2 linked regions of the Cricetulus griseus genome follow. The protein of the gene in region 2 interacts with the protein of the main gene of each other region in a biochemical or structural test. Links are inferred from orthologs where the notes say so. Each region holds a gene or a part of one and is shown on either strand. Other genes may lie near its edges.

Region 1 (4,384 bases), about 410 Mb from region 2:
GCAGATGAGCTCAGCATCATATCAGGCAAGCTGGCAGCAGCAATACACTACTAGTAGCAGGGACCAAGTGCCAAATGTACTCACTCTGCTGCCATAGTCACCAGATGAAACATCAGACACTTGCACAGGGCCCACCAGAAGCACAGAAGTCCTGCTACTAAACATTGGAGGTCCAGCCAGGGTGAGAAGAGCCACAAGCTGCACATAAGTGGGCATGGAACAACAGACCTTGACCTTATTGGTGAGAGATACATGTTGGGAATTGAGCCCAGCCCAGGGCAGACTCTGCTCCTTATAAAGTAGCCAGCTTTGGTCTCAGCTTTGGTCTGGAGTGGGGCAGGAAACCCAGACTCACTAGGATACTCCTCACAGACTATTCTGAGGCCACTTGCCCAGCTTAGCCAACCCTGCTGAGCTTCCCTCTCCCAATATTAAGCTACTTAGCCTGGTATCCTTGGAGCTCTGTAGACAGAACACAGGCAAGGAAGTGAGGGATGCAGTTATGTGGGGAGGAAGGGCTGCTCTTCCAGGCTCCCAAGGCCACTATGCCATCTGAGTACCAGGTCACAGTTGGGGTGAGGCCTACTGACATGCTGCTTGTGCCTTTCTGTGTCATCCTAGCCCAGACTCTACCTCTTAGCTGCTCTGTCTCCTGGTTCATCCACACACCCAGGACACCCAACTTGCACCTCTGTGCTCTCTGCTAACTCCATACCTCATGCCCCAGCCATTCCCAACCCACCCAAAGGTACTACTCCTGCTTCAATAGCCAGATCTGCCACTCCACCTCCTTAGTCAGGGCACCTGCAGGTCCTCCTGAACACAAACACAGCTTAGTGGGGGCCCATGTAAGCTGATGCTGGGTTACTACTCTTAGCACACCCTACTCAACGTGCATATGAAAGCAGAGGGACAAGTACCCTCAGGAGACACCCAGAATGTTTAGCAAAAAGCAACCCAGGTCTGGGTCTGCTCCTCATCACCACACCCAAGTTTGTGAGAACAAATTTGACTGGTGATTTTTATCTAAAATAATAAATTTAATCCAGAGATGCCCTGTTCCTGAGAGCAGAGACAACAGAGGTGGCCCAGCCAGGACAGTCGGGGAGACCAATCTCCAGCCTCCAGGCAGATGGGGAGCACCAGCCTTCAATTTGTGGGGACATGCTCCCCTTTGCTTTTTCCTAGTGGTTGGGGCACAGGGAATGGGTAAGCGAGAGAGTTTAGTTGTACAAACCAGGTTGAGCCCTGGCTAGATGCCCAGGGTCAGGGAGAGATTCAAACTTGACCTGACCCATGGGCTGCCCAGGGACCCTGCAACCATGAAATCCAGTAAATAGTTTCAATGTCAAAGTCCTGAGATGCAGCCACACAAGGGCACCAAGCACACCTGCTCCACCCACAGGGCCTGAGCATGCCCCCGACTCAAGCACTGCCAAGCCATGGACTCAGGTTTCTGTGGCTATGCCCAGTCAGGCCTCTGTTGCACTGCCAGTCCCTGGCTCATTGTCTCAGAGGCCCAGCTTAGCTCAAGTAGGAAGTCCCTTCTCCTGAGACAGCTAGTACAGCAGTGCAGTTAGGAAACACACTACCTTAGAAGCTGGCTCAAGTCAGAAGATAACCTGAGCACCTCCCAGGAATGCAAATGCTGTGTGGTTCAGTAAGGACAGAAGCACAGGAGCCAGCAACCAAGGGGGCAGGCTGAGTGAAGGTTCTTAGTCTCCAGTGCCCCTTGACCTCTGCCTTGCCACTGGGACTCTAGAGGGACCACGAGGAATCTGCAGGCTTCAGAAACTTTTTCTGAGCTCCAGAAAACAGATGGGTGCCTATGACCAGCCCATTCCACACTACCCCATTTCAACTGAAGGATCCCTGAGTGCTGGGAGTCACAAACACCTAACCCTTTCCCTTAACCCCAGCCCCCATAAAATGCACACCCTCCAGGGCAGCCACCCACTCTATGGTTTCCACCCATAGAAGAGGAATGCAACAGGACCTGTGCTTGACCAGAGACAAGAGGAGGTGGCTTTGAGGGTGGCCTTTGGCACCCCGCCTGGACCAGCTGTGCACAGGGGCACCACTGGATGGCGGACAGAAAGCCTGGGCCCTAACCTGTCCATCAAACAGAACTCTCTCTCTGGCCTACCTAAGAGGGTAGGTAGTCAAGAACTCGGATTCCCAGCTTGCCAGACAGGTGAGTACAAACACCATGGGTCACCAAGGCGCAGAGACTCTACTTACACCTGCTGTAGAGGCGCGGCAGGGTTGCCGGCGCCGGGGGCGCTCTGACGTCCCCAGACCCGAAAGCCCTGCCCCGCACAGACAGGTGCCAGCTCGTGCCCGCACGGGGGCCCGGCGGGCACCGCACACGCGCGGGAAAGGGCCAGCACTCCCGCCCAGGCCGCTCGGCCCACTGACCCGAAGTCCTGGTCCATAGACTTGAAGAAGAATTTGTAGGCGTGCACCGGCCGGTTGCTGAGCACGTTCTTGAAGTCCGCCAGCGTGACGCGTTCGGGAGCTACCGGCAGCTTGACCAGGTACGGCGTCTCCTCCTCGTCCATGTGGTAGATGATCTTGGTCTCCGCCATGGCGCGGCAGCAGCGACGCGGAACCCGCGCAGCGTCAGGGCCCGGCTCACCTCTCGGACGCGGGGCGCCCTCCCAAACCGCCGGCCCGCGCCCCGCCCGGCCGCCCCGCGGCCCCTTTGCGCGCCGCCCGCCCGGTCCCGGATCGCACCCGTCCCCCGCCTGTTGCCCCGCGGCCCGCGGCCGCCCATCCACTGCCAGCCCCAGAGCGGGCTCGAGGGAAGCAGCTGAGAGGGTTACTGCCGCCCACCGCCCCCTCGGGCTGTTCCAAGACAGCCTGGCGGGGTTGGGCCCGCGGCCACCAGAGGGCGCAGCGGAGCCGGTGACGTCACTGGACGCCCGCAGCGCGGGTGGGGCGGGGCCACGCACGCGCGGGGCGGGGCGGGGTGGGGTTACGGCTTGCGCACGGGAGGGGCAACCAGGATGGGACCCGGCGGGTTCGGGAAGCCTAACTGGTTAGGTCACTCCGTGCGGTAGCGTGGGGCGGGGCTTTGAGTTCCCCTAGCCAGGAGCCAAAAGCTGTACAATGCGCTCGCCCCGATTCCCGATAGGCAGGAATTCGTGCGGCGTCTGGGTCTGCGGTTTGTGGGCAAATGGGCACGCTCGGCCCCAGAATAGCAGAGACCCAGAAAAGGTTGTGCCTTGTGAGCCAATATTATCTGCCAGAGAGCTGAGGAGCGTCGTCGGGCTAGGCCTGTCCAGTTATCCCACCCAGTTCCCACAGTGCTGACAATCAGAAGGCGCTCGCTACTCTGGGGGCTTCAGGCGCTCCACAAGAATTTGAAGATACCTATGTCTAACCCAAGACAGCGAGAGCCTTACTGCGCCTCACGCTATTCCTGAGCTCAGTTCTTACGCACACTGCCTTGTCCCATCGGATCCCCGAAGAAACTCAAAGGAGTGACTAGTGACGCAGGTCCAGGTGTGTGCACAGATGTCCAGGCGAGGCCCGGGCTGCGACTGAAGCCAAAGGGATTTTTGCCTTGGACGTTGTAATCAAAATAGCCAGGTGTCTTCCCCAGGCCAAGGAAGACCGGGATGCACCTCAACCTGAGATTTGACCCACTTATTGCCTTGCTAAGCTGAAGGCCTCCCCTACTCCAGGATGGCCTAAGGCCCTTCGTTGGCCATTAATAAGAGTGGGGTAGCCGGGTGTTGGTGGCGCACGCCTTTAATCCCAGCACTCGGGAGGCAGAGGCAGGTGGATCTCTGTGAGTTCGAGACCAGCCTGGTCTACAAGAGCTAGTAACAGGACAGCCTCCAAAGCCACAGATAAACCCTGTCTCGAAAAAAAAAAAGAGTGGGGTAATGCATAGGATACTGGCCAGTGATGGAGACAAGGGTGCCTATTGTGATCTGGGACCAACGCCAGACACTACGCCTGCACAAGGAAAGACCGTCGCACCACTGTTCTGAAGGACCTAGAAGTTAGCACTGAATTTATATTAAAGGCCACTGAAGTCAGCCTAAGCAGAGTTCTTCCCTTTAATTCCTTACTCCCAACAGGGGCCTGCTATCCTGGGAACCCATACTCCCTTTGCCAACATCTGGTCCTCTTCCTTGGATCTCTACAGAAGTAACCCGAAGCAGCTAGGCAAGATGACTTCAGAGAGTCTGCTCAAGGGAGAAGGAAAACAAGCTGTTTTCTGAGTGTTCCTCGGGTCAGACATAAGATCCTACTGATCAGGAGCTGGAGAGATGGCTCAGAGGTTAAGAGCAGTGGCTGCTCTTCCAGAGGTCCCGAGTTCAATTCCCAGCAACCACATGGTGGCTCACAACCATCTGTAATGAGATCTGGT
Region 2 (4,385 bases):
GCCTTGCAGCAGGGATTGGACTCAACCCTGGCTCAGCTCTGGCGCCGGGAAGAACTCACCAAATCTCTGCTGATGTCAACCTTTCCCTCAAGGCCCTAGTCGGCCTATATCTTTCACAGTTAGCACCGTCCTGCAAGTCTTAGTCAGAAGTCTTTTCAACCACCCTGCCTTTTGACTTTTCACTCAGGCCCTCTCTCAAAACCACCTCTAACCCCAAATCTCTTCTCACCTCCAATTAACTTCTCACTTCCATGTTAAAGCTCAGTGGAGGAGGGGGTAGCCTACAGAAACAAGTCCCCACCCAGCAGTTCTTTCCCTACCATGCCTCTCCTCCTACAAGGAGGGAGAAGTGGCAAGGTTGGGAGAAGGACCGGGGCTCATACCGCAGTCTCCCCCTTGCTGCTGTGGCTGAGTCTGTGGTAGAAACGACGCCATGACTGCAGGGTCTTGCCAGACCAGATCCAGAAGCCGGTAGTGATGCCCACGATCATGGTCATCAGGTACTTGATCATGAAGACTGTGAAGTCGGGGCTCATGGGCGGGAAGTGACCCGGAGGGCAGGGCACAGCGTAGCTCTTGCAGGTCTGTAGGAGCCAGGTGCGCTCCCAGTGCTCGCGGAAGGCCTGCTCGTAAAAGTAGCAGGCCAGCACGATGGTGGCCGGCACCGTGTAGAGCACGCTGAAGACGCCGATGCGCACCATGAGCTTCTCCAGTTTCTCGGTCTTGGTGCCGTCGTGCTTCATGATGGTGCGAATGCGGAAGAGAGACACAAAGCCGGCCAGGAGGAAGGACGTACCGATGAAGAGGTAGACGAAGAGGGGCGCAAGCACGAAGCCCCGCAGCGCATCCACACTAGACAGGCCCACGTAGCACACTCCACTGAGAAGGTCCCCGTCCACCTGGCCCATGGCCAAGATGGTGATTGTCTTGACTGCCGGCACAGCCCATGCGGCCAGATGAAAGTACTGCGAGTTAGCCTCGATGGCCTCGTGGCCCCACTTCATGCCAGCTGCCAGGAACCAAGTGAGGGACAGAATGACCCACCAGATGGAGCTGGCCATGCCGAAGAAGTAAAGCACCATGAAGAGGATGGTGCAGCCCTCCTTCTTGGTGCCCTGCGCCACCGTGCGGTAGCCATCGTCCGAGAAGCGCTCCACGCACACGGCACGGTCCTCCAGCAGGAAGCCCGCCACGTGCGCCACGGCCACCATGAAGTAGCAGCCCGAGAGGAAGATGATGGGTCGCTCTGGGTAGCTGAAGCGCCGCATGTCCACTAGGTAGGTGAGCACCGTGAAGAGCGTCGAGGCGCAGCACAGCACCGACCACACACCCACCCAGAGGCGGGCGAAACGCCTCTCCTCCTCTTTAAAGTACATAAGGCCGTTAGCACGGCCGGGCTCACACGGGGCACCGCAATCGCGCTCACCTAGGAAGCGGTAGCCCAGGTAGGGGGGCACTTTGAGCTGGCGCGGGCACGAGAAGGGGAAAGACCACCGGCCTCTGCCATCTGAGGGGGGCATGGCAGTGAAAGGCGGGTCTGGCAGGTAGGGAGCAGTAGGGTAGGCGGTGGGACTGCCGCCCGCGCCCCCGGAGCCGTCAGACGTGTTCTGGCCCACGCAGATCTCGCCGGCGCCGTGCACCGGGAAGTTCTCGCAACGCAGCCGCTCAGGCCACTGGAAGCCGAACTTGTTCATGAGAGCCTCGCAGCCTTGGCGGGCGCGCTCGCACAGGGAGCGGCACGGAGGAATGGCTTGGTCGAGCACCGTGCATACGGGCGCGTACATGGAGCATAAAAAGAAGCGCAGCTCGGGAGAACACTGCACCTTCACCAGCGGGTAGAACTGGTGCACCTCGAGGCCGGCGTCCTCTTGGTTCGTGTGGCCCAGCAGGTTGGGCAAGATGGTCTGGTTGTAGGCGATATCCGTGCACAACGGGATGGAGATGGGCTGGCAGAAGCCGTGGTCCGGTACCGAGATGCCCTTCTCGCCGTGGTACGGCTGAGCCCGGGTGCCCGCAGGCAGCGCGCCCAGAAGCGCCAGCAGCAGGGCGCACAGGCCCAGGGGCGAGTGCGACGCCGCAGTGCCGGGGCCCCGCATCGCGGGCCGCGAGTGCAGTGGCGTTCTCAGCTGGGGGAAAAAGACGAGGCGCTGGGGAGCGGCTTGGATGCAGGGAGGCGCCGCCGCGCCCGGCGCATGAGAGTCCTCCCGGCGCCGGGGCCGGGCCGTGGGCGGCGCGGAGCCGAGGGCGCTAGGTGCCTGCACGGCGGGGGCGAGGCCGCCAGTCGAGGGGGCGCCGCAGCCGCCTCCGCGTGGCACTCACGCGGCCGCCGGGGGCTCAAACTCCTGGGCCTGGGCTGGGGGATCGGGGGTGGGGTGTCGCCTTACCCTCCCCGCCGAGACGTAACGGTGCGGCTTTCTCTTGGGCGACGGGCTCCAAGCGTCTCCGGTTACCTTTCAAAGTTTGCCCAAGTCTCTCGAGCCCCGGGCGCACGGCGATGCCCACGTCCCCACACCGGGTAGGGCCTCCGCCAGACCAGAGCCCCGCGTCCCCGCCTGCTCGCCCCGGCCGCCGCCTCGGCGGTGCAGCTCCGCCTTCTCGCCTCGAGGCCCCGCGGGCCGCCGCCTCCTCCTCCTCCTCCTCCGAACCTCGAGCCTCCTTCAGCCCGGGGAAGGTCGGCCCCAAGTTTCAGTCAAACGTCTGGTTCTCAATTTGAGTCCGATCGGTCCCCAGGAGCTAAGAGCTGGGCGAGTTCTTTTTGGAAACCCAGTTGCGCGGAATCCCAAGCGCCGAGGCTCCTGCACCCGCGGCCTGTCTGCTCTCGGCCTCTCCTGCCGGCTCAGTCCCGGCCGGCGAGTCCCCGCGTCCGCCGCCGCCCGCCAGGGAAGGAGCGCAGAGTAACGCCTGGGAGCCGCGCTGGTGGCTAGAAGAAGCGTCGGGCTCGCAGGGTTTCGGGCCGCCCCGCCCCCTCCCCTCCCCCCATTCACAAACCACTCCGGGGGCGGGCCCCGAGCCCTCCGGAGGCCCAATAGCGCGCTTTGTTTTCTCTGTAGACGCCTTCCGATTGGGTGGAAGTCGGAAGGGGCGGCCGAGGGAACGAGGAAGGCGGTGCCTGAAGCGCTCTGGGCGGATTCCTGAGGGGAGGGGCGGGGGACTGGGAGAGAAAAGTTAGGAGAAACTTTTACCCAGAATTTGCTCAGGGGAGAAGAACGCACCAGAAAGGGAATTTGTTTGAAAGATTGGTTCCTCTTCCGGATACCCTAAAACACACATTCCTGAGCAGAAGGGCGCATTCGCCAAAGGCTTCGGCGAGACGCTGAGAATAGCGCAGCGCTTGGGCGGAGAGACGTGACCCAGAGTCACGTTAGCCTGGCTGGCTTGGGCGGGAGGCTTTTGGTTAGCATCAGTGTGGGTCGGGAAGGGGCTGCGACTGAAGATCGCTCTTTTCTCCCCATACCCAAACGACCACATGAAACCACAATCCCCTCTCCCTCCCCCCAGTTACAAAGAAGGGGGCCTCCTGGAAGGAGAAACCCGAGTCGGCCGAGGTGGGGACTTGTGGCGGGAGGAAGTGCAGACCCTCGGAGGAGAGGGCCCAGAGCTGGGGGTGCGCGGGACTCAAGAGCCAGCCACCCCGCCCGCGCGCACTGTGGGGAGCGTAGGGAGCCCGAGAGGTTGGGGGTGGGGTTGGAGGACGCTAAGGCAGTGCTGGGGGAATGCTTATGAAAGCAACCTGAGACCGAGTACCCGGGACTCTCCGTACGATTTACTGAGCGCCTTCGGTTGCCCTGTGTGGCCTTCGGGGGTCCCGTTTTCGTTGCAGAAGCAACCATTTGATCTTTGCATTTGGAATCTACATAGAAAAGTTTTAAAGCGCGTTAGAAACCAGGGCATTTGCTAATTAAAGGGCTTTTGAGACACAAAGAGGGGTTATTTTCCTTCTGGGATAGCGTTTTTCTGATTGGCAAGCGTTCTTTTGTCCTCGGTCAAATCTTAACCCTGCTCCAGGCACTGGGCGCTCGTGCGCCTTGTCTGCCTGTCCCGGACCGGTCGGAAGTTACTAAGGGACCTCTGCTCTCTCAGAGGGGCCAGCAAGGAATATCATGAATATTATGAATTCCCGGGCAGGGAAGTGACAAGTTGAATCTCTCTGTCGTCCCTGAAGTCTTACTTTCAAAAAAACGTCATTCCTGGCTGAGTCCTACTTTCTACCTGTCTCAGTTGGTTGCCGGTATATGAGAGATTTTTGATCAGTTTGAATGTTGAATGTTGGCAGGAGTCATTGCCTCCAGGATACAGTTTCCCCATCTAGGAAAAAGCTGATTCTGAAACCTAAGATAATTGGATTCCCTTTTCTAGCAGACTTGGGCTTCTTGTAATTTTCTTTT

Evidence for each region.
Region 1: the proteins of Fzd7 (region 2) and Dvl1 form a complex in vitro, tested with the Homo sapiens proteins (2 studies listed by BioGRID and IntAct, with this or other methods). The link is inferred for Cricetulus griseus from reciprocal best matches to the Homo sapiens genes FZD7 and DVL1.

What each region holds. Positions count from the first base shown.
Region 1 is NC_048595.1:434,929-439,312, forward strand, and holds the start of Dvl1 (segment polarity protein dishevelled homolog DVL-1), read right to left. Parts: upstream 2,891-4,384; 5' UTR 2,589-2,890; coding exon 2,419-2,588; intron 199-2,418; coding exon 85-198; intron 1-84. UniProt on the Homo sapiens protein: Participates in Wnt signaling by binding to the cytoplasmic C-terminus of frizzled family members and transducing the Wnt signal to down-stream effectors. Plays a role both in canonical and non-canonical Wnt signaling.
Region 2 is NC_048595.1:413,755,391-413,759,775, reverse strand, and holds the start of Fzd7 (frizzled-7), read right to left. Parts: upstream 2,967-4,385; 5' UTR 2,097-2,966; coding exon 378-2,096; 3' UTR 1-377. UniProt on the Homo sapiens protein: Receptor for Wnt proteins.